4 linked regions of the Arabidopsis thaliana genome follow. The protein of the gene in region 1 interacts with the protein of each later gene in a pairwise test. Each region holds a gene or a part of one and is shown on either strand. Other genes may lie near its edges. The genes, in order: CRK40, IRX1, AT1G04360 and CNGC9.

Evidence for each region.
Region 2: the proteins of CRK40 (region 1) and IRX1 interact in a protein complementation assay, tested with the Arabidopsis thaliana proteins (one large-scale study listed by BioGRID).
Region 3: the proteins of CRK40 (region 1) and AT1G04360 interact in a protein complementation assay, tested with the Arabidopsis thaliana proteins (one large-scale study listed by BioGRID).
Region 4: the proteins of CRK40 (region 1) and CNGC9 interact in a protein complementation assay, tested with the Arabidopsis thaliana proteins (one large-scale study listed by BioGRID).

The regions. Positions count from the first base shown.
Region 1 is NC_003075.7:2,287,901-2,293,473, reverse strand, and holds CRK40 (cysteine-rich RLK (RECEPTOR-like protein kinase) 40), read right to left. Parts: upstream 3,573-5,573; 5' UTR 3,430-3,572; coding exon 2,589-3,429; intron 2,427-2,588; coding exon 2,310-2,426; intron 2,240-2,309; coding exon 2,106-2,239; intron 2,019-2,105; coding exon 1,808-2,018; intron 1,729-1,807; coding exon 1,491-1,728; intron 1,394-1,490; coding exon 1,255-1,393; coding exon of another isoform or gene 1,219-1,254; exon of another isoform or gene 1,042-1,218; coding exon 757-1,041; 3' UTR 524-756; downstream 1-523.
Region 2 is NC_003075.7:10,312,112-10,318,564, forward strand, and holds IRX1 (cellulose synthase family protein), read right to left. Parts: upstream 4,776-6,453; 5' UTR 4,609-4,775; coding exon 4,431-4,608; intron 4,339-4,430; coding exon 4,259-4,338; intron 4,176-4,258; coding exon 4,124-4,175; intron 4,030-4,123; coding exon 3,864-4,029; intron 3,781-3,863; coding exon 3,508-3,780; intron 3,417-3,507; coding exon 3,071-3,416; intron 2,975-3,070; coding exon 2,837-2,974; intron 2,765-2,836; coding exon 2,639-2,764; intron 2,572-2,638; coding exon 2,359-2,571; intron 2,277-2,358; coding exon 1,833-2,276; intron 1,760-1,832; coding exon 1,406-1,759; intron 1,323-1,405; coding exon 735-1,322; 3' UTR 513-734; downstream 1-512. Other genes in the region: MYB98 (myb domain protein 98), read left to right, coding at 1-446; NRAMP5 (NRAMP metal ion transporter family protein), read right to left, coding at 5,674-5,898, 5,974-6,453.
Region 3 is NC_003070.9:1,166,710-1,170,974, forward strand, and holds AT1G04360 (RING/U-box superfamily protein), read right to left. Parts: upstream 2,326-4,265; 5' UTR 1,944-2,325; coding exon 798-1,943; 3' UTR 579-797; downstream 1-578.
Region 4 is NC_003075.7:14,926,221-14,932,041, reverse strand, and holds CNGC9 (cyclic nucleotide gated channel 9), read left to right. Parts: upstream 1-1,686; 5' UTR 1,687-1,902; exon of another isoform or gene 1,903-2,039; intron 2,040-2,324; 5' UTR 2,325-2,360; coding exon 2,361-2,428; exon of another isoform or gene 2,429-2,576; coding exon 2,577-3,165; intron 3,166-3,266; coding exon 3,267-3,479; intron 3,480-3,569; coding exon 3,570-3,880; intron 3,881-3,964; coding exon 3,965-4,313; intron 4,314-4,396; coding exon 4,397-5,068; 3' UTR 5,069-5,208; downstream 5,209-5,821. Other genes in the region: AT4G30570 (Glucose-1-phosphate adenylyltransferase family protein), read left to right, coding at 91-141, 222-287, 381-620, 698-1,336; GGP3 (Class I glutamine amidotransferase-like superfamily protein), read right to left, coding at 5,329-5,424, 5,538-5,821. UniProt on the Arabidopsis thaliana protein: Putative cyclic nucleotide-gated ion channel.

The sequences.
Region 1 (5,573 bases):
TAGGTACATAGATATACTCTTATTTGGGAATTCTGAAAATATCAAGGAAAATTCCTTATATTATATTTTCAACAACAAAAAAAAAACTTCCTTATATATATGTTCATACTAAGATAAGAATCAAGTAGAGTGGCTAAAATCAGGAATTTGATTGGTCAGAAAAGATTTTTTATCCTCACTCTATTGGTCATGTAAAATTAAAATCAACTTTGAAATTTATTGGTCATTTAGAAGAAATATATTAGGGAGAACTATATTAGGTACGTGATATATTTTGTTTTGGGAATTAATGTGAAAATACTTAAAAACAATTGTTATATTATAATATTTGTTTTAACAAAAAGAAAGAAAAAAACTTCTTTATAATTCTATTTAGAGTAAGATATATCAGAATAAAGTAACTGAAATTAAGAACTGATATTTTATCTGATTGTTAAGAAAAGATTTATTATCTTCTCCTAATTGAGATTTATAAGATATTTCAGTTATTATTAAATCATATTTATATGTGCAACATTTTAAGTTTATTTATTTCTTACCTCTATAATATTAATTAATATTGGTGAAAATAGTTTTAAAACAAAACTGGACGCGAAAACCCTCTTGGCCCAAAGGTTAATCAAGAGTTAATAAAGCCTTTACACCAAAGAAGTCTAAAGTTCGAATCCAAGATTATGCGATTTACTAACAAATTTGCAGATTAATGGAGTTTGATATTAAAAAATATTCAAATATTTTGATTAACTGATGTATATCTCAACGACAACTCAACTCCGTGAAGACATCGTCGCTCAATGACATTGCACCACTTTCAGATTGGGATCGAATCCAAGTGAAAGCAGGAGCTTTAGGTAAAGGAATGATGATAGTCTCACTGCCAAGCCAAATTATTACAGAGCTCATGGTTGGTCTCTTTGTTGAATTCTCTTGAACACACAACAAACCAATTTGGATCAACTTGATGATCTCATTTCTTGGATTCTCTATTAAGAACGGATCAATTATAATCTCAGGCTTTCCTTCAACCCATCTTTTCCATGCCTACACCAAAAACATAAGTTCTTACTTTCGGGATAAAGTTTTGAAGATAGAAAAACAAAAACTGATATGTGAAGAAGCTTAAGGTCGCCGGTTCGAGTAACGCTTGGAACGAAACTAATATTACATGCTGTGGTTTCGGTCCTGGGGGGATTACGGGCTTCGGCCCAAAACCTCCAGCTATTCAAAAAAAAAAAAAATTGTGAAGAAGCTTACAAAAGCTGCAAGTCCTTCTCCTTCGAAGCTATTGTTTCTTTCACCACTAATCATCTCTAGAAGCATAACACCGAAGCTATAAACGTCAGATTTAGCTGAGATTTGTCCATGATTCAAGTACTCAGGAGCCATATATCCACTGCATATATGCAAACCAATAGCATTAATTCATGGACTCTGTTTTCAAAACAGAGCATTTGAAATGTGTCATCAAATTTGATTGATATATTTCTTACCGGGTTCCAGCTATTCTTTTTGTTTCAGCTCGAGTCTCGTCGGAGTCGAACAACCTCGCAGTCCCGAAATCCGCAACTTTAGGGTTCATCTCAGCGTCTAAAAGTATGTTGCTTGCCTTCAAGTCTCTGTGAATAATCTTCAGCTGAGAATCTTCATGGAGATAGAGAAGACCTCGAGCAATGCCTTCTATAATTCTGAACCTCACCTCCCATGTAAGAAGAGAACGCTTATCTTCATCTGCAGAGTTCAAAGAAACATTTAGTTTGCTAAAAGTTCTAAATCTATCCAACTTGGCAGCTGTCTTTCGAAGGCTCACCAAAGATAAAGTGATCAAGACTTGAGTTGGGGACAAACTCGTAGACAAGAATCTCTTCATCTCCCTCATTACAGAACCCAAGAAGCTTAACAAGATTCTTATGTTGGAGTCTTGTCAAGAGTGAAACCTCATTCTTAAACTCCATATCTCCTTGTCCTGATCCTTTTGTTAGTCTCTTGACCGCTACCTCTTGCCCGTTTGGGAATGTCCCCTGAAACCCATTCTCAAGATATCTATTTACTCATAAAAGACCAATGTTGATCAAGAACTCATCATTAAGGAAAAAGTTTATTATTACCTTATAAACCGTACCAAATCCACCTTGGCCAAGCGTATTTTCAGAGGAGAAGTCATCAGTTGCCATTACGATCATACCAAGATCAAACCGTAACATGAATTGACCATCAGAATCAGAGTATTCTGCACTACCAACTAAAAAAACAAAAAATCCATAAGCCTTACTCTCTACATCATAAGCTTGATTGAAGCAAGTTACACTTACCATTATTTAATTTTCCCCTCCGTGCATAGACTTTGATAAAGCCAATAAACACCAAAAGATTAATGAAAGTAAACACCACAACTATTGCGATAATTCCGCCATACCCAATGCTTTTCCCTGCAAATTACCAACCCTTTGTCTAAGAATTAACCTCTTAATCATAATAACAATTTGGCACGAAAAGTTCATACCAAACCGCTTCATGTCACTTATGTAAACAATATTCCTCAAAATTGGCTCTTTTGAGCTCTAAATGAAAGCTAAAATAATTTGTGTTACCTTTTTTTACTGTTATGCAGCTCTCCTTTTCCTGAGCATGAGGTCGAGGAGGAGGCGCAGGAACTCTTGTTACATTATCAAAAGCATTATGGAAAGAATATAGATCCCACCTGAAATAACAGCTTGGAAGACTAGCCATGCCTCCTTTTCTTCCCATATAGTCTTTTCTAAAGTACATCACGCAATCTCCCAAACATTGCTTGCAATCTCGTGAACTTAAGTCGGGTGTGCATTGCATCAGCATGTAAACATCTGGAAACTCGGTGAAACCCGCTTTTTCGGCCTTATAGTACTTAAGCACCGAGGAACCTTCAGCTTTCGTGGCAGCCTCTAGGGTCCGATTAACCATTTCTTCCCACTGTTGTTTGAAAAGGGTTATGTTTTTAGATGACTCTATAGTATCTGGACTTGGCCATACAACAGGAGGTTTAAGCTGGACGCTCCCAAAAGTAGACTGGTTTGAGGAACGTACAAGACAAGTTACATCGTCATTGCCTCCCCATATGAACGAATCCCTACGGCTTCGACAATCTGTTAGTGTGTTCTGAGTCAATGATTGGACACAATTGTAACAAGCGTCTTGGTCGTAGCCTCTTGCGCAGCTGACAAGAGCGTAAACTTTGTCGGGATCTTGGCCGAGTGAAGCGTTGTAGAATCCGTCGTTGATGATGACTTTGTCAGCAAGAGTAGGGAACAGTTTCTGGCGATTCTGAGCGAAGGTGCTGCTGTTACCGTTGAAGGAGTTTCCGAAACATTTGACCGCGTTAACAACATGGAGTGTTTGAAGGACAAGTAGAAGAGAAGAAGAGAGGAATATCATCAAAGCAGAGCATTTTCCCATTTTTGTTTGTTAAAGATAACAACTTCTTTGGTTTTTTTTTTTTTGATGTACTACTTGAAGTAGTCTACTTCGTTACTGTTAAGTATAGTAATAAATTTTTGAGCTTTGTTTATATTTATATAGCCTACCAGCTTTGACATTTGAAAGGTTCCAAAAAGAAAACAAAATATGGCCTAATTTTCTTCGTTACTGTAAATAATAATCACAAGTTATCTTTCAATGGTAAGTTGGTTGATAATAATCAAATGTAATAACTAGTAAAAAAATGAAACATGGCAGTTTTTTTTCCCCGGCAATATTATCATAAACAGTTTTGCATAATACATGAACCATTCACATACGACCATTGACATAAACAGAGACTTTTATATAACGAGAAACATGTCAGTGAAAAATAGTTAACAATGAAATGATAAGTCGCTGAATTACTAAAAATATAGAGATTATATAAGTTACGTTTTCGATTTGTGTTGGGAAAAATCTATTTTACAATGGTTCCTCTGTTTTTTAAGAAGTGTTGTTTAAGCAAAAACAAATAGTTTCATTTTATTTGTTGTTTTCAATTTTTAATGGAAATTTTATTATTTTTGACTCTTAGAAATTCTACAAAACTTTTTTTTCAATTTGTTGAATTGTTTTTAAATAGATAATTAACTATATTAAAAGATAATAATAAAAAACGAAATAATTTCATTTGTGCCAAAACCTTGAAACTTAAACTACAAATAAATGACAATAGAGGGAGTAACAAATTAAATAATATACTTATAATCATTTCTAGGAAGATGTACAGACTCATTCACAATCAACTTCTTAGTCAAAAATTATATGTAATAGTAAAATACTAAAATGTGGAAAAGATAGTGATAGAAAAACACAAATAAATGAAATGTTTGGTATTACCTGTGAGACGTTAACCCATATTAAGAACTTTTGGTCCCCAGTCCCCACAAAACCTTGAAAAAACGCGTCTTTGTTAACTTCCAAACTGAGAGAAAATGCGTATTGGTTGATTTTTCAAAGATTCCAAAAATGGCTACCCACAATATAGAGATAATAGCAAAACAAATTCTTTTTCTTTCGTGATTGATTTTATGAATAGCTTCTTGGACGATTCCGCAATAGCAACTCTTCCACCAATTCACGGATCCACAATATACGGTTCTACATACAGTTATACATTATATATTTATATTTATTATAAATTTATGAAGATGCAGATTCTGACAACAACGAGCTGATAAACATCATGGAGCTGTTGGAAATTAGGAAGCTGCATCAAATCTGTTAGTTTATAATTGAGTTTGGTCTATAAGTTATAATTATGTTGTATTAAAAGGTGTTTGTTAGAGTCGTGACTTTTAGATTAGGTTGTGTCGTTTATCTTAGAGAGAAAGAGACACAACTCTTTACTTATTGTGTCTATTTGTTTTCTATTTAAACTTTTTGTATCGTGATGAAACGAACAAGTTCTCCATTCAATAAAAGTCAGTTTCTCTTTTGCTTTGTGTATCTCATAAGAAACAGAACAACAAGTAAACACTTGTTTTTTCTTTGTAACAAGAGGCTTCAATTTCCAACATGGTATCAGAGCCCTACTGATTCAAGGGCCAAACATTTCAAGTAAAGAGTTTAATAAACACGAGAGAGTTATGGAGATGGTGTCACACATTGTGACTCCAATCTTCAACAAAGAGAATTATGGTTTTTGGCGCATCAAGATGAAAACAATTTTCCAGACAAAGAAACTGTGGGAAATTGTTGACGAAGGAGTTCCAAAACCACCCGCAGAAGGAGATCATAGCCCTGAAGCAGTGCAACAAAAGACACGATGTGAAGCAGCATCCTTAAAGGATCTAACCGCTTTGCAAATTCTTCAAACTGCCGTCTCAGATTCCATATTTCCGAGAATCGCCCCTGCATCAAGCGCACTTGGAAAGCCTTGGTATTGGAATTTCAAGGATCACCACAAGTCAGGATGATAAAGCTTCAATCTCTTAGAAGGGAGTATGAGAATTTGAAGATGAAAGAAAGTGACAATATCAACACTTTCATGACCAAGTTGATTGAGATGGGAAATCAACTGAGAGTTCATGGAGAAGAGAAATCAGACTATCAAATAGTGCAAAAAATCCTAATTTCTC
Region 2 (6,453 bases), 8.0 Mb from region 1:
TGATAGAATTTCACAAAGAGATTGGAAACAAATGGGCAGAGATTGCGAAAAGACTCCCGGGAAGAACAGAGAACTCGATCAAGAACCATTGGAACGCAACAAAAAGAAGACAATTCTCTAAAAGAAAATGTAGATCTAAGTATCCAAGACCTTCTCTGTTGCAGGATTACATCAAGAGCTTGAATATGGGAGCTTTGATGGCTTCTTCTGTTCCTGCAAGAGGTAGACGCAGAGAGAGTAATAACAAGAAGAAGGATGTTGTTGTTGCGGTTGAGGAGAAGAAGAAGGAAGAGGAGGTGTATGGACAAGACAGGATTGTGCCTGAATGTGTGTTTACTGATGATTTTGGATTCAATGAGAAGCTGCTTGAGGAAGGATGTAGCATTGACTCTTTGCTTGATGACATTCCTCAGCCTGACATTGATGCTTTTGTTCATGGACTCTGATTTGTATTTTTTATTCTGCTTGTTTCAGTTTTGTTGTTTTTTGTTTGTCTTTTTATACGAGACAGATTCCACCAAACTTCAATAATTTGAAAAGATATAAAATATTTTGCTTTTTAAAAACATGTTGATGTTGAAACAATAGAAACCTAACTTGCGGAACCCGCCAAGACTTGTTGCTAAAATAAGAACATTACTTAACTTGTGGCTCAAGCAACCATATGAAAATTTATAAAACAACCAAAACACATATGATCAATCTTTCAAAATACAAACATAACGTATCTTCTCTTAGCAATCGATCAAAAGACAGTTCAGAGAAAGGGAAGTCGTATCGGTTTTGGAGACGAAAGGATTGATACGAACCCAAACAAGTGAAAACACAGAAGCAAGCAAGATAGACCAGAGAATAACAATAGTAGGTGTTCTGTTTTGTCTTCCCATAAGACCTTTGAGGAATGGATAAAGATGAAGAATCACCCAAAAGGCGAAAAATACCTTCCCAAACAAAGGTCCCCAAGCTTCATAACCTTTGTTAAGAGCGTCAGAGAATCCAGCAACAACTCCGACCAAGTTGATTATAAGAAGTGACGTCGGAGGGATCAAGAGAGTTGTCCATTTGACAATGTAAAGCTCACCGAATTCTAAATCATCTGCGGTTTTCGATGTGACTGTGAAATTTGTGTCGAGACCAGCGAGCATTTTGAGGAATCCTTGGAAAACGGCAAAGAGATGAGCTGAGACACCTCCAATAACCCAAAACTGTTCGTTTCTCCATAAGTCTTCGATACTGACTCCGCTCCATCGAAGCTCGAGGACACTCGTTAAGATGATTGATATAAAGAGACCTAGAAACAGCATGCTTGCTAGGTTTGATAGCTGCAATAAAGAACAGAAACAAAGATCAAATTCTCAATCTTGCTGTAACCTAACCAAAGTAATTAGTAGTATGAAAAAGTTACCGTTGGGATGATAAATTTGCCGGTAAGAAGGCAAATAGCTGGAAGAGTACAGTAAGCAACAAGAGGCAAAGAAGTGAATGGGTAGACAATAGTGTTTATATAAGCTAATCTCTGGAGCAACTTGAGGCGGCCTCCGCTGCAACCGTACCACAAAGGACAATGTCGGCTAAGGAAGATCTCAACCGAGCCAAGAGCCCAACGTAGAACCTGGTGAAGCCTATCTGATAGATTGATTGGAGCAGATCCTTTAAATGCTGGTCTTAATGGCATACAGTAAATCGACCTCCATCCACGACAATGCATCTTGAAACCCGTCAAAATGTCTTCGGTGATCGACCCGTAAATCCATCCTATCTGCGAAAACAGAACGAAAGGTTATAAAATGTACTCACAAGAGAACTTTGATATGAAGAAACAAGGCACTTACTTCTTTTCCCCATTCAGTTTTCTCTTCGTATCCACAGCTAATGACATGAATAGCTTCTTTGATGAGCGTTGACGGGTTTACAGAGTCGGGAACACCGCCATTCTCCATAAGAGTAGACTCGATGAAAACCGTAGAGAGACCAAACGTTTTCTCAAAGCTTGTTTGTGAAATCAGCATCGATCTGTCGTACTCATCGTAGTTGTCTAGGTCCCCAAGATTAAAGATTGCAGCATCAAGTTCTTCTCGCTTTGCATCTTTGTAAATCTCGGAAGGATCTTGAGGTTGTTTCTTCTTGGTTAGACAGCAACACGACGATGATGAAGATTGCGGTAAAATCCTCGGTTTTGAAGGTGGACTGTATCCGTAAAGTGCTTGTCTTCTAAAGACAGTACCTGTACCAACATAAACTGGACCTTGAATCCCATCAAGCCCTCTCATATTAACCTGAAAACATCATATCAAAACCACAAAATATCATAAGAAATCTCAAAACTTTGCTTGAAGTTATGAGTATGAGATAACTTACATCGAAGAAAACAATGTTGCGGTTAGCATATCGATCACTCTTGTCGATTCCATCAAATCTCTGTGGGAACTGAACAAAGCAAACGTCTTGACCAACAACAGGATCCATTAAAAAGCACATTGCTTCACGCACGGCTTTGCTATTGTTGACGTAGTGATCACAATCAAGGTTAAGAATGAATGGAGCATTCGTTAAAACCGCAGACACCCTCACCTACAAAGAACAAAATCATTAGGATTGTGCTAAATTGAACGATAAAAGAAAAAGTTTTGAAGTTTACCAATGCGTTCTCTGCCCCGGCCTTTTTGTGATGCTGATAACCAGGTCTCTTCTCTCTAGAGACGTAAACTAATCTTGGAAGTTCATTTCCTTCAATGTCGCGAGCACCGCTATATCCAAGAAAAACCTGCAAGAAAGAAATTACGTGACTAACAAGAAAAGACAGAGCATTTCAGGTCAAATGTTTTAGCTAGCAAACCTGAATCATCCCGGGATGGTCACGAGTGTTGTTCCCGGGCCAAGATGTTCCATCTTGCATTGTCCATCCTTCTTCTGGTGTCTTTTGAGCCTTGGCGACTAAAGCATTCATTCTTATTTTAAACTCTTCATAATCTCTCTACAAGAAGAGAAATTAGACATTAAGTTTTCGATTCAATCATCGGTTAACGCTATATGAGATTAATTTAAGGTTTTAAAGCCCTTGCTTACTTACTTTCATGGCTCTACGTTCTTTCACAAAAGAAGGTTGAACTTTATCCCTCAAGTAATCGATTTTAAGCGAGAAGTAAAACTCGGGAGCTCGTGGCTCGATGGAGTACTTTTTGCAGAAAGGTACCCATTTCCTAGCAAAATCTGCTGTCTCAACCAAAGACTCAAACGAAAGCATTGCAGCACCATCATCAGATACATAGCAAGAGACTTTATCCACCGGATAATCAAGCGCGAGGATCGAAAGAACCGTGTTTGCAGTTATCAAAGGTGGCTCCTTTAATGGATCTACCGTACTAACAAAGAAATCTACAGCTGCAAGCTGTGATTGCTCGCCTTCTCTTTCGAATCTGCATAGTTTTGATAAATGGTTTCATAAAACTTAAAGATTGGTAGTAACTGCGCAGATTAAGCATATAACGGTTATAAAACATTTGTAACCTTGCGGATAACCGGTCGATGTAAGTTTCTCGGTTAATAGGAGACCATTTAGGGAACTGATCCAACACCCAAGAAACAGCAAACCAAATCTCACATATCACAGATGTTAGCCATAAACCGTAAGCGCTATCGACAGGATGCGTGATACGGTAGTTAAAAAACAGAGCCAAGATGATCAACCGCATGATGATGACAATCCTATATGAAGTGATTTTTGTCCTTGGGATAGGAATCACAACCGAAAGCACATCTGTAGCACCAGATTCTGTGTTCCTGAGAATACAAACGGCAGAGACCAAATCAACGTCTCAAACTTTTTGGTGAATGTTATTAGATTAGTACGAGGATGTGCTTACGGTGGCGTATCTTCCATGTGCTGTTGGGTAGGAATCTGAGCCTCATGTTGTTCAGCTTTTGTTGCTTTTGGATCTTTCTTCTTCTTCTTGCTCTTCTTGTCTTTCTTGTCTTTCCAGCTCTCCACTCTGTTCTTCCAAATTGGATTGCCATATTCATCATTCAGTTCTTCAGGAAGAAACAACAATCCCCAAGTTAGTTAAACTATTAATAACCTCACCAAATGTATACAAAGATTTTGGCTTTGTTTCTTAGTTCTTACCACTGTCTATTGTTGAGACTGTACTTATATGTCTAGCATGAATCCCTGAATCCTGAAAAAGTCAAGATAATGTTCTCAAATTTGTAAAATCTAATTAAGACATAAAAGCAACTAATCTTAGCTAAGCACACAAACCTGAGAAGTGTTATTGGTCTGTGTTGGAACAATGGATTGAGTTTTAGATGTCTTTGTCTCAACATCATCAAACACATTCTCTATGAAAGCAAAACAAAACAAAACAAGTTATAAATACTCTTTAACCAAAAAATCAAACTTTCGAATAAAGTTTGTAAATTTATAATTGTACCATCGTAAGGATTGCCGCAACGCAAGCAAATTCTTCGACCTTCTTTGAATTCATACTCAAGACAAGCTTTGCAGATCGGGAAACTACACTCATGACAAGCCACAAAGAACTCTCCGTTTGATTTTACACCAATCTCTTCACCACAAGTGTTGCAGATGGGAGACCTAGACTCCATCATCTTCGAATTCCCCTGTTTGGAGAAACAGAGAAATGAACCCTAATTAGGGATTGAGATTTGGATGGATAACAAGTTTGAGAAGCCATGAGAGTGGAGGTTTTGTAATAAGAGGAAAAAAAGTTATTAAAAAAAGTTTGGTGGATTGTGAAAAATCGGAAGTTGAGAAGTTTCTTTCACTGGTTTTCTGAGAAAGCTGATGGGTAAGCTAAATTTGGAGCTTTTTTGAAATGATTTTGCGGGAAAGTGAAGGAAAGTTTTAGTTGAGAGGAGTGACACATGTTCTTTGTCTCTAACCAGCGGCAGATACTAGCTTGCTTGCCTCCTAAGCGTCACCGTACTTTCTATATCAAGCTAACATTGAAGTTGTTATATCCGGTTTATTCGGGTCGGGTTATTCACCATTGAAGTTGTTATAATTTTTAAGTAAATCTTTTCAATCACCAACTTTCTATAAGAAAAATAAGAATTAAAATCACTTTTTTGAATCAAATTAATTTTAGCATTAAAATATTTAAATTTATAGTGTAAACAATTATTTAAGACATAAAATTAAAATTTATAGTTAAAATTATAAGACACATATGTATCTAAAAAAAATATTTAGTTTTTTTTTTATTTAGGTAAATGACAATTTGTGACAAATATTAAAGTCTTAAACCTAAAATTTTAATTGTCTTTGTCAGAAGAGAATTTTCACCGTTTACTACTAAAGAAAACACTCGTCATTTGGTTTAATATCTCTAATCTCTATAACAATTTGAGCTTTAGCTGTACCAAAAATAAATTTTGAGATATAATATCACTTCTCTAATTTTGTTTCTGCTTAATCACTTCTCTGTTCATTAACGTTTTTTGCATAATTCTACTCTACATTTGCAATGTTAGAACAAATCAATCTACACTCTTAACCAATTCAGTCTTTGCATCATCACATCTGAGTTTCCTCTGGTCTACTGTCTCAAATAAAACCGTTGACCAAATACAGCAAAACCATCCATCAAATTCGACCTTCTGATTTTGCTCAGATAAGTTGTAAGGGTTGAAGAATACTAAAGTTATGGGTTTCTACGTCTCTGTGGAAACAACTCTCTCTGACATTTCTAAACTCGACCAGGAAGAAGATTGTGAGCTTCTATAAGAAACAAGATAGATGATGAAACTGATGTATCCAACTACTCCACCAAAAACCAGAAACCCAACAAGAAACCCTTCCACTTCAGCCATGAAGAAATCTAGAAGAAGATACCCATTTATCATCATCACAAACACCGCCACAGTCCAAGCTAGCTTCTGCAAAGATCCCAACTAACTCGTTACAATCAAAAGCACATAACAATAAAGAGAGATGACAAAAAATTGCTTTACCTCAAGCGAAGGTCCGATCTTGAAGACACCCATGATATGTTCATTAGAAACCATAGTCAAAAGAGGAATAACCGCGAAAGGAATCTGCATCGACTGAAGAATGTTAAGCCATTCGTTTAAAACATCGAGCGAGCCCTCGGATGTGTTAAACATAATAGCAACAAACATAGTAGGTACAATAGCAAAGCTTCTCGTTATAAAAGCTGATAGCCATTGTTCCATTTGAAGATCTAAGAACCCTTCCATTATAAACTGTCCAGCATAAGTCCCGGTTATAGTACTGCTTTGTCCAGCAGCTAATAAACCAATCCCCCAAATGTATAGTATCGGGAAAACACCACCGCCATATTTCTCTTGTAGGTAATATCCCGCGTTAACCAGTCCTATACTATCAGCTTGTTTGGTTCCATAAAACCCTTTCGCGAAAACCGCAGTTACAAACAAATTGATCATGAACGAAACAAAAAGCGCGGCTGACGA
Region 3 (4,265 bases), on another chromosome or scaffold:
TGTGTGTATAATTTTAGTGAATGCTTTAAATTGGGAATAAAGGTTCAAACTTGATCAGCATCTTGTCAATCACAGTTTCTTGACTAAATTGAAACTAGCAATACCAAAAGAAAGAATTATATACAAGCTAAAGTATAATCAGTAACCAAACTAAACCAGTAGCAAATGTTATTGAACCAAACAAAACCGATCAAAGATTGCTTGTTGTAGCCAACCAAGGCAAACCTGCAACCATTCGGTACTTAGCTCGCAGAAAACTGATCAATACTATCTTCACGGTCTGAGGATCCACGCCGGTTTGATTGCAGAAACCGATTTTAGGATTTACTAATTCCTACGCCGGAAAGTCGTCATGCTCAGTTCCTCCTCTGTCCGATTTGATACGGACCTTAAAGGCGAGTCTGCGGCGACAAAGATTTATTTGGGCCTTTATGCTTTTATGCATTTGGGCCTTTATGTGTTTAAGCCGTTTGGGCCTCACAGGTTAGTTCTTTGTTTCCTTTTTTTTTTTTCCCTGCAGTTCTTTGTTGGGATTTGTTTTCGTGTAACTCGTTTAGTGAAAAACACTATTTATTCAATTTTCAGAAACTTCTGTAATTACTATTCAAGTAACTCATCTACTCCTATGACTTGTAAACATTGAACATGTGTATTTGACAAAGAAGAAACATGTACACTATATATCTTTCTCTCCTACTTCACCTTCCAAAATATTTTTTTTTAAATTCACCTCAGCAAATAACAAATACAAAAAATAATTTTTTTGAACAATGAATCAAGAAGAGGAAAATACAGAATTAGGGTTCCAAATAAACAGGTAATATTGAAGAACTTTTTGAAGTTCTACTACTTCCAAAAGAGAAGAAACATCTCTTCATGACTCTGCTATTACCACCACCACTACTGCTACTATCTTCACCGTCTCCAGCTACCGGAATCTGCCTGTTTCTCCGGCTGATTTCCTCTTGGACCGCCAAGTACAGCTGACGATCCACTGATGAATCCATCGAGATCGATCTTCTTATGGGCTGAATTTCACCAAAATGACCATCTTTGCCTCTAGTATCGATACATTCGTCTCCCATACTCGTCACTTTGTGAAATTTCCTTTCTTTCTTATACATTCCCCGATTACCAAACTTTATAGGCAAAGGACTCACCGATTTCGGGCTGTTTCCGGTCGAGACCTCATTCGAGGTAACCCTTTCTTGCTCCGTAAGGAAGTCTATGTTTCTCACGCTTTCTCTGTTGTTACCATTACTGGCCCCAAGCTCTATGACGACGAAGTCATCATCGCCTCCTAGAACCAGGCCGGGTTCGAGATTCCTGTTCCGAGAATGAGGGCTATTCTCCCGAGGAGAGCTCGGTGCAGAGATTAGGTCAAGAGTGAAACTTGCTTCGCAAGAAACGCTGGTTCTGCACAAGGGACAATTTGCGTTGCCCTGAAGCCAGATATCAATGCAATCAATGTGAAACACGTGGCAGCAGTTAGGAATAATCCTTAGCTTCTCGTCTTCTTGAAACTCGTTTAAACAAACAGAGCATTCTTGAGAGTTCTTACTCTGATCTTCTTCTCCTGCAACAACGTCTCTCTTCTTGAATTTGAAGACTGGGATAGCTCTAATGGCGGATTCGTCTAGTCCTCTGTTTACCTCATGAGGAGAGTAAATCATTAGAGGGTTTTGGTCACTGCTTCGTCTGCGGCGGCGAAAGATGTCGATTTGGTGCCAATTAAGACAGCATTTGATCACGAAGATGTAGTAACTTACAAGTAAGAACGCAGTGGCTAAGATTCCAATCACTGCGATGGCCAGAATGGGGAAATTGGTGCCGGAAGAGCTTGTTCGTGGGAATATAGGGCTTGTGAAGGTCGTGGATGGCGGCGGAGGCGGCGGCGGAAAAACAAGATTGTTAAAAGGGTTACGACGGTCTGTTAGATCCATTTGACTACAAAACAATCTAAATGAAAAGCTCCCTCTAGGATTTGAAGGGAAATATTCAGTAGAAAACGAAAAAAAAAATCAAGAAATCAAGTAATTATTTTCTATTGAATCTTTTTCCTCCCTACTCTGAAAGTGTTTATATATACGTAATTGCGTGTGTAAGAGAAAGATCAGAATAGTAGAAGAGATAGTGGTAGAGAAGAAAAACAGAGATGAAGTAATGAAATGAAAGAGAGAGAGAAAGAGTTGGTGAGATTTCAGAGGCTCTTTCTTATATGACTCATTTATTTATTTAGGTTATCATCTTACTTTGTTTTTTTCATCATTTAGGTTATCATTTTGCTGAATCTTTTAGGAGTTTTTTTTTTTTCCTCGATCTATGTGACTTGTTTGGTGTAAGAGTTTTCTTTTTATTTAAACATTTTTTGTAGTACTTATGGTGAGGAAAACAATAAGGAAAAGCTTACTTATATTCAAGTGGAGTAATTTAATTGACATTTTGAGTTGGATCTTCTGATGATAGTGAAAGTTTTGTTTGTCCATGTAGATTACGTTTATATTAAAGTCGTATGTAGTATAATGATGATATAATTGGATTCGCTAATACAGTATAGTGGTCATTTTTCAATAATTAGAATCTGTGAACTCCAGCTAACCACACTTGTCGGTTAATTAAATTGATATGTTTAGACAGACTATATATTTTGTGAAGGATCCTTTGAAAATGTAATAAATTTATCTTATTCAGAAGAATATCTGCAAGTAATTTGCTCTAAACTATGGTTCAAAATAGATAATATGATAGATATCGAAGATCTAGTTATGATTCGAAACGGTCCAAGAAAGATCCCCGAAAAAGACACAAGGTTAGTAAGACTTATCCTTTCTCTGTCTAATCCCGTCAAAATAGAAATAAAAGAAAAGTCAAATCCACCGCAGAAATAGTTCAAAGTTTTCGTTTTGGTTTTCATCTTTTATTAGTTTAAATATATAAGAAATGAGATGAGATGTTAAAAAAAACAAAAAACAAAACAACAACTGGTAAACAGAAATAAAAAATGATAAAGAAGGACAATGTTTCCATACTCACTAGTCTCTATCGTGTATTTATGTTTGACGAGTTTGGCTCACGACAGAATAGAACATAATAATAGGTCCGGTGAGAAGTATAGTTTCGTTTTATATTTGAACCTTTTTCTCTTATCAATAATGTATTGTCTTTAGCAAAACAATTGTGACTATTTTTGTTAGTTGTTTGAGTAATTTTGGGTGTACGTATTTGTGTATTATTTATCATCAAAGTGTATATAATCGAATTTTAGATGGACTTATGTTCTATAATACGTTAGAGGATGTATAAATACACATCTTTAACACAAAAAGATATATAAATACACATCGACTTATGGCGTTCTTAGTTTTGTCCTAACATAATAAAAACGAAAACGTGCCCACGACGGAGACAACCCTTAGTGGAAAGTAATTTGTTGTTTTTGCATTATTTTTATTTTTATCCAAACAACTAATATTCATAAGTGGCTCCCGATGAAAATCCGTAATCACGATTGTCAAAAGAAAAAAAAAATATAGTGGGAGAAATCACAAATCGACAAAATTAGATTCAGATCCATGTTTACAAATTTTTTTAATTTTTTTTTTTGTTGAAGTGTTGCATCAGTTAAACCTAAAAATCGACAAAATCACAATTGATGCTTCGGCAGTAATTACAAATAAACAAATACTACAACCAGGGCAGAGCAGCAGAAGAATATTTCATATAGAACTTAGTGACATTGTATTACTTAAATTTAAACTTTCTTAAATCACCATTAAAAACAGTTGATTCATGAAACTTGTGAAAAACAACTCATCAGTAGTTTTCACATGGACTGACAACAGCTGTGAAAGCTTTTGGTTCAATTTTGGGAGGATTTTACTAGAATCCAATTATTTGTACAATTCAAAACTAATATGAAAAAAGAAATCTAGGCATCTCATTAATATAGTAGAATTTTGTTTCCGCATTAACAATTGACTTTGACTATAGACTACTCTTTTAAGAATGAGGTCCTGAGGATCATCATCATGCGCCACGTCGACGACTCAGGTCAACACAGCAACGGTGAGATGGATCAGCATTCAGCAGCACGTGATGCTTGGTCGGTCACGTGTGTGCGTCAGACCATCATCGATACACGTCGCTCCGAGATATGAACTCGATCTCTATAATTTTCTTTGTTTTGTTTTGATGTTCGAGATTCTATTAGTTGCATTGATCAGGATCGTCTTCTAGCCCTACGCTACACTATAAAAACATACTTA
Region 4 (5,821 bases), about 13 Mb from region 1:
AGTAGATCATCTGGTTATATTTATGCAGAATTGAAGGCTCTTATTCTAGTTGGAGGATTCGGAACCAGATTGAGGCCACTTACCTTGAGCATGCCTAAACCACTTGTTGATTTTGGAAACAAACCCATGATTTTGCATCAGGTAGGTTAGCTTCTTCTTCTTCTTTTGTATTTGCTCAAGTTTTCACAGTTTCTTTTGTTCTCATTATGATGCATTCGCAGATTGAAGCTCTAAAAGGTGCTGGAGTGACTGAAGTTGTATTAGCTATCAATCACCAACAACCAGAGGTACATACATTCATTGTCCTTAATAACGATACGATAACAATTGAAATTCTTCCGTGTCATCCTCCTTCTCCTTGTGTGTTTGGTATTACTCAGGTCATGTTGAACTTTGTGAAAGAATATGAGAAGAAGCTAGAGATTAAGATTACATTTTCCCAAGAAACTGAACCGCTTGGAACAGCAGGGCCTCTCGCGCTGGCTCGGGATAAGCTGGTCGATGAATCAGGCCAACCCTTTTTTGTACTAAACAGCGATGTTATCTGTGAATACCCATTGCTTGAGATGATCGAGTTTCACAAGACTAACCGTGCTGAAGCATCAATCATGGTGACCGAGGTAGTCAAACAGGAGCATTTTCTGCATTTTGTGAAGTTTATCTTTCATCTGTTAATAGCATTTTCTGATATTAACAGGTTGATGATCCTTCTAAGTATGGTGTGGTGGTTACAGAGGAAGGTACAGCGAGAGTTGAAAGTTTTGTCGAGAAACCGAAACATTTTGTGGGGAACAAGATCAACGCTGGGATATACCTCTTGAGCCCATCTGTTCTTGACAGGATTGAGCTGAGAAGGACTTCGATAGAGAAAGAGATATTCCCTAAGATAGCTTCAGAGAAGAAGCTTTACGCGATGGTACTACCTGGTTTTTGGATGGACATTGGTCAACCGAAAGATTACATAACCGGGCAAAGAATGTACCTTAACTCTCTAAGAGAGAAAACTCCGCAAGAACTGGCCACAGGGGATAACATAATCGGGAATGTTCTCGTGCACGAAAGTGCGGTTATAGGAGAAGGTTGCTTGATAGGACCTGATGTGGTGATTGGTCCGGGATGTGTGATTGATTCAGGTGTAAGATTGTTTGGTTGTACTGTAATGCGCGGTGTGTGGATCAAGGAACATGCGTGTATCTCTAATAGTATCGTGGGATGGGATTCAACCGTTGGAAGGTGGGCTCGAGTTTTTAATATAACGGTTCTTGGCAAAGATGTTAACGTCGCCGATGCAGAGGTTTACAACAGTGGGGTTGTTATCGAAGAGCAAGGTCTGTGAAACCAGAGCCTAGACCTAGATTAGTTAGTTCCACTGTTTCCAGAGTCTTATGAACCGCAATATTCTTACAATTTAAAACAGATACAAACTCTATGGTAAACCATATCATAAACCGGTTAAAAATGGTATTCGACACCAATAGAGAAAAACGTTTTTCAGATCCATCCCTAAGCAAGTTGTGTATATTTCTTTCGTAAATGTTTTGAGACATTCTTATAAGGGACATATAAATTATTGTAGATAAAGCCTATGTTTCTTAAACACGAAACTGTGATTTATTAATAGACTATAGTTTGGTGTATGTAATTAACGTTGAGAAAAATGAAAGACGTGACGGCAGAGAGAGAGAGAGTGGACCCGACCCGGACGGCACGGAGACACTTTCAGTTTCTTCTTCTTCTCTTCTGTCTTTGTGATATTTCTCTCAAAATCAATATTTTTTCATCTGTGAAACGACTTCGTCTCCTCCCACTCCATTGTCACTTTCTTCTTCACCCTTCTCTCGTCTCCGTCTGATTTGGCGTGTAACTTCTTTCTACCGTAATTCTCCTTCGTCTTCTTCTCTGGTATATCTCTTGCATTCCCTCCTAATTTCTTAGCCAATTACTGTTTGGAATGATCTTCATTTTGTACTTCCCATTGCTTGATTTTGGTTGACACCTTTCTCGTTTAAGATCGTCTCGTTTTCATGCTGAAAACTCAAGTATTTAGTTTTTTCGTTTGTACCCTTTTGTTGATGTTTTGGTTTGGGGAGAAAATGTGGTTCCTTTCAAGTTTTTTCCGTCAATTTGAGTTCTCAGGTCAACGAAAATGGATGGATGTTCTTAACCCATTAACCAAGTTTGATTTTTAGAGAGATTCTGTAAACAAACAATAACATTTTTTGTGCTTGAATTATTTTTATATTTATTGCAAGTTTAGGATTTTGCTGCTTGAAATGATTTTGATCATAAATGTTTATTACATTTTCTTATGTGTGTAAAAACAGGTTTGGGATTCATGAGTTGAGTCACAAGGAAAAAGCATGTTAGACTGTGGCAAAAAAGCAGTCAAATCACAAGTAATCAGTGGCCGTCTCGAGAAGTTTGTAAGGTAACTCTCATTATTGTATATAGTTGATCGAAATTTAACATGATGATATCATTCTAGCAGATTCAGATATTGTTTAGCCAAAAAGGACATTCCTTTACTTCAGGTTTGAAACTAAATGGATATCTTTAGTTTATTTTGTTCTTCACAGGTTGGATAGTATGGATTCTAGGTACTCGCAGACTTCTGATACTGGTCTAAACAGATGCACTCTCAATTTACAAGGACCAACACGTGGTGGTGGTGCTCAGGGAAACAATGTATCTTCTGGTTCCTTTAAGAAAGGGTTTAGAAAAGGTTCTAAAGGTCTTTGGTCTATAGGAAGATCAATTGGTTTAGGGGTTTCACGAGCAGTTTTTCCTGAAGATCTTAAAGTATCAGAGAAGAAGATTTTTGATCCACAGGACAAGTTTCTTTTGCTCTGTAACAAACTGTTTGTTACTTCTTGCATTCTCGCTGTGTCTGTGGATCCGCTCTTCTTGTATCTTCCGTTTGTTAAGGATAATGAGAAATGTATCGGTATAGACCGGAAGTTGGCTATTATAGCAACAACGCTGCGGACAGTAATTGATGCGTTTTATCTTTTTCACATGGCTCTTCGGTTTAGAACAGCTTTTGTCGCCCCTTCTTCTCGGGTTTTTGGTCGAGGCGAACTTGTGATTGACCCTGCACAGATAGCAAAACGTTATTTGCAGCAGTATTTCATCATTGACTTTCTCTCTGTGCTTCCACTTCCACAGGTAATAACAGAAATGCCTCTCCCAGTGTTCTCTTATCTTCCATTGTTTCTTTGTTCTCTAAATTTTTATGACTAGTTTATGTTATTCTTTGGATTTTTCAGATTGTAGTTTGGAGATTTCTTTACATCTCTAAAGGTGCAAGTGTGCTAGCAACAAAGCGGGCATTGCGATCTATCATTTTAGTTCAATATATTCCAAGATTCATTCGGTTGTATCCTTTGAGCTCAGAGTTAAAGAGAACAGCTGGTGTTTTTGCTGAAACTGCTTGGGCTGGTGCAGCTTATTACTTGCTACTCTACATGCTCGCAAGCCATGTCAGTACATACTATCTTTGGTAGCTTTCCTCTTATATTCTCAAAAGATCCATTCATCACTCTCTCTTTTTTCCCTTATGTTTTTATCAGATTGTTGGGGCTATATGGTACTTATTGGCCTTGGAACGTTATAATGGATGCTGGACCAAGGTTTGCAGTAATAGCAGCTTGGACTGTCACAGAAACTTCCTGTTTTGTGGTAATGAAAAAATGGATGGTTATGCAGCTTGGACTACCATCAAAGATTCTGTTCTGCAATTAAATTGCCCAGTTAATACAACCGATAATCCTCCTTTTGATTTTGGGATCTACTTAAGAGCCTTGTCCTCTGGCATTGTCTCATCTAAGAGCTTTGTCTCTAAGTACTTCTTCTGTTTATGGTGGGGACTTCAGAATCTCAGGTACGTAATTCTAAAGAATCCGTCTTCTATAGTCATTATGAAAAGTCTCTGTTGCATTAGTAACTTTGTCGATGTCAAATGCAGCACTCTTGGTCAAGGGCTTGAAACCAGCACATACCCTGGAGAAGTTATATTCTCCATAGCACTTGCCATTGCTGGACTTCTTCTCTTTGCTCTTCTTATTGGAAACATGCAGACTTATCTTCAATCCCTTACAATCCGGCTTGAAGAAATGAGAGTGAAAAGACGTGATTCAGAACAGTGGATGCATCATCGAATGCTTCCACCGGAACTGCGAGAACGAGTCAGACGATATGACCAGTACAAATGGTTGGAGACACGCGGAGTTGATGAAGAGAATTTGGTTCAGAACCTCCCAAAGGATCTGAGAAGAGATATCAAACGCCATCTCTGTCTGGCTTTGGTTCGGAGGGTAAGTTGAATCTTACTTTAAAAGCCTTTTTCTAATCTTGATTCATAAATGAAACCATCTTGTTCTATTTTTCTTATGGAAAGGTTCCATTGTTTGAGAATATGGATGAGAGGCTGCTCGATGCAATCTGTGAGCGGTTGAAGCCGTGTCTGTACACAGAGAGCTCTTATTTGGTTCGGGAAGGCGACCCGGTTAACGAGATGCTCTTCATTATCCGTGGTCGGCTTGAGAGTGTGACCACCGATGGCGGAAGAAGCGGTTTCTTCAACCGCAGTTTGCTTAAAGAAGGAGATTTCTGTGGGGAAGAGCTTTTGACATGGGCACTTGATCCCAAATCTGGTTCCAACCTACCATCCTCTACCAGAACCGCAAAGGCTCTAACTGAAGTAGAGGCTTTTGCTTTGATAGCAGATGAGCTCAAATTTGTGGCTAGCCAGTTCAGAAGACTACACAGCAGGCAAGTTCAACACACATTCAGATTCTACTCGCAACAATGGAGAACTTGGGCTGCTATCTTCATACAAGCCGCGTGGCGACGATACGTGAAGAAGAAGAAACTTGAGCAACTCAGGAAAGAAGAAGAAGAAGGAGAAGGATCAGTTACTAGCATCAGAGCGACGTTCCTGGCTTCAAAGTTTGCTGCAAATGCACTTCGTAAAGTTCACAAGAACCGTATTGAAGCAAAGTCTACTATAGAACTTGTGAAATATCAGAAGCCTTCAGAACCTGATTTCTCTGCTGATGATACTAGTTGACCAAATTTTACCAGAAAAGTGCTAATGTCTATGAACGCTTATAACTTGTATAACTCGGATTGAATTTTATTGTTTGATTTGTGTTGCTACATTAAGATAAAGAAAAAGGTGGTAACATAAAAGATTATTTGTGATTGTGATTTGTTTTATATGTGTTTCTTTCTGTTTCCTGAAGATAAAATATGAAAGATACTGCAGGTTTATTGAGAGATGACATAGTTTTTGATAAGTTCATACAGAGATAACATAGTCTCGGATCATCAACCTTTCAGGAAGTTTTTGCAGAGCTTCTGCCATAGAATCCTGTCTGGTTGCGCAGTCTCCATCGTACTCTTTGCCTTATCCGCAAACTCTTGCTGAAAAAAATCAATCACATTGCAATTCTTGATAAGGCTAACTACATTGAGAACAAGAACACTCCGAAATGTTTATCTAGCAAAAATAGAGATCATAGAGAAGGAGAACAAACCTCCATCAGCTTCATATTAAGGACTCGGTCCACAATCTCAAACAGAATCTCTTTGTTATACTCTGGATGCCCTTGAATACAGAAAAAATGATCTCCAATAGAGAACATCTCGACGTTACATACCTCAGAAGAAGCAAGTAGTGTAGCAGACTCAGGAAGTTCCAACACTTCATCCTGATGACATTTTATAATAGCTAAAGATGCTGGGACCTCAACGTCTCCAAAGTAACCTCGTAGTTTTTCATTGTCTTTCGCTATGGTTATGCTTCTAAGTCCCATATCTG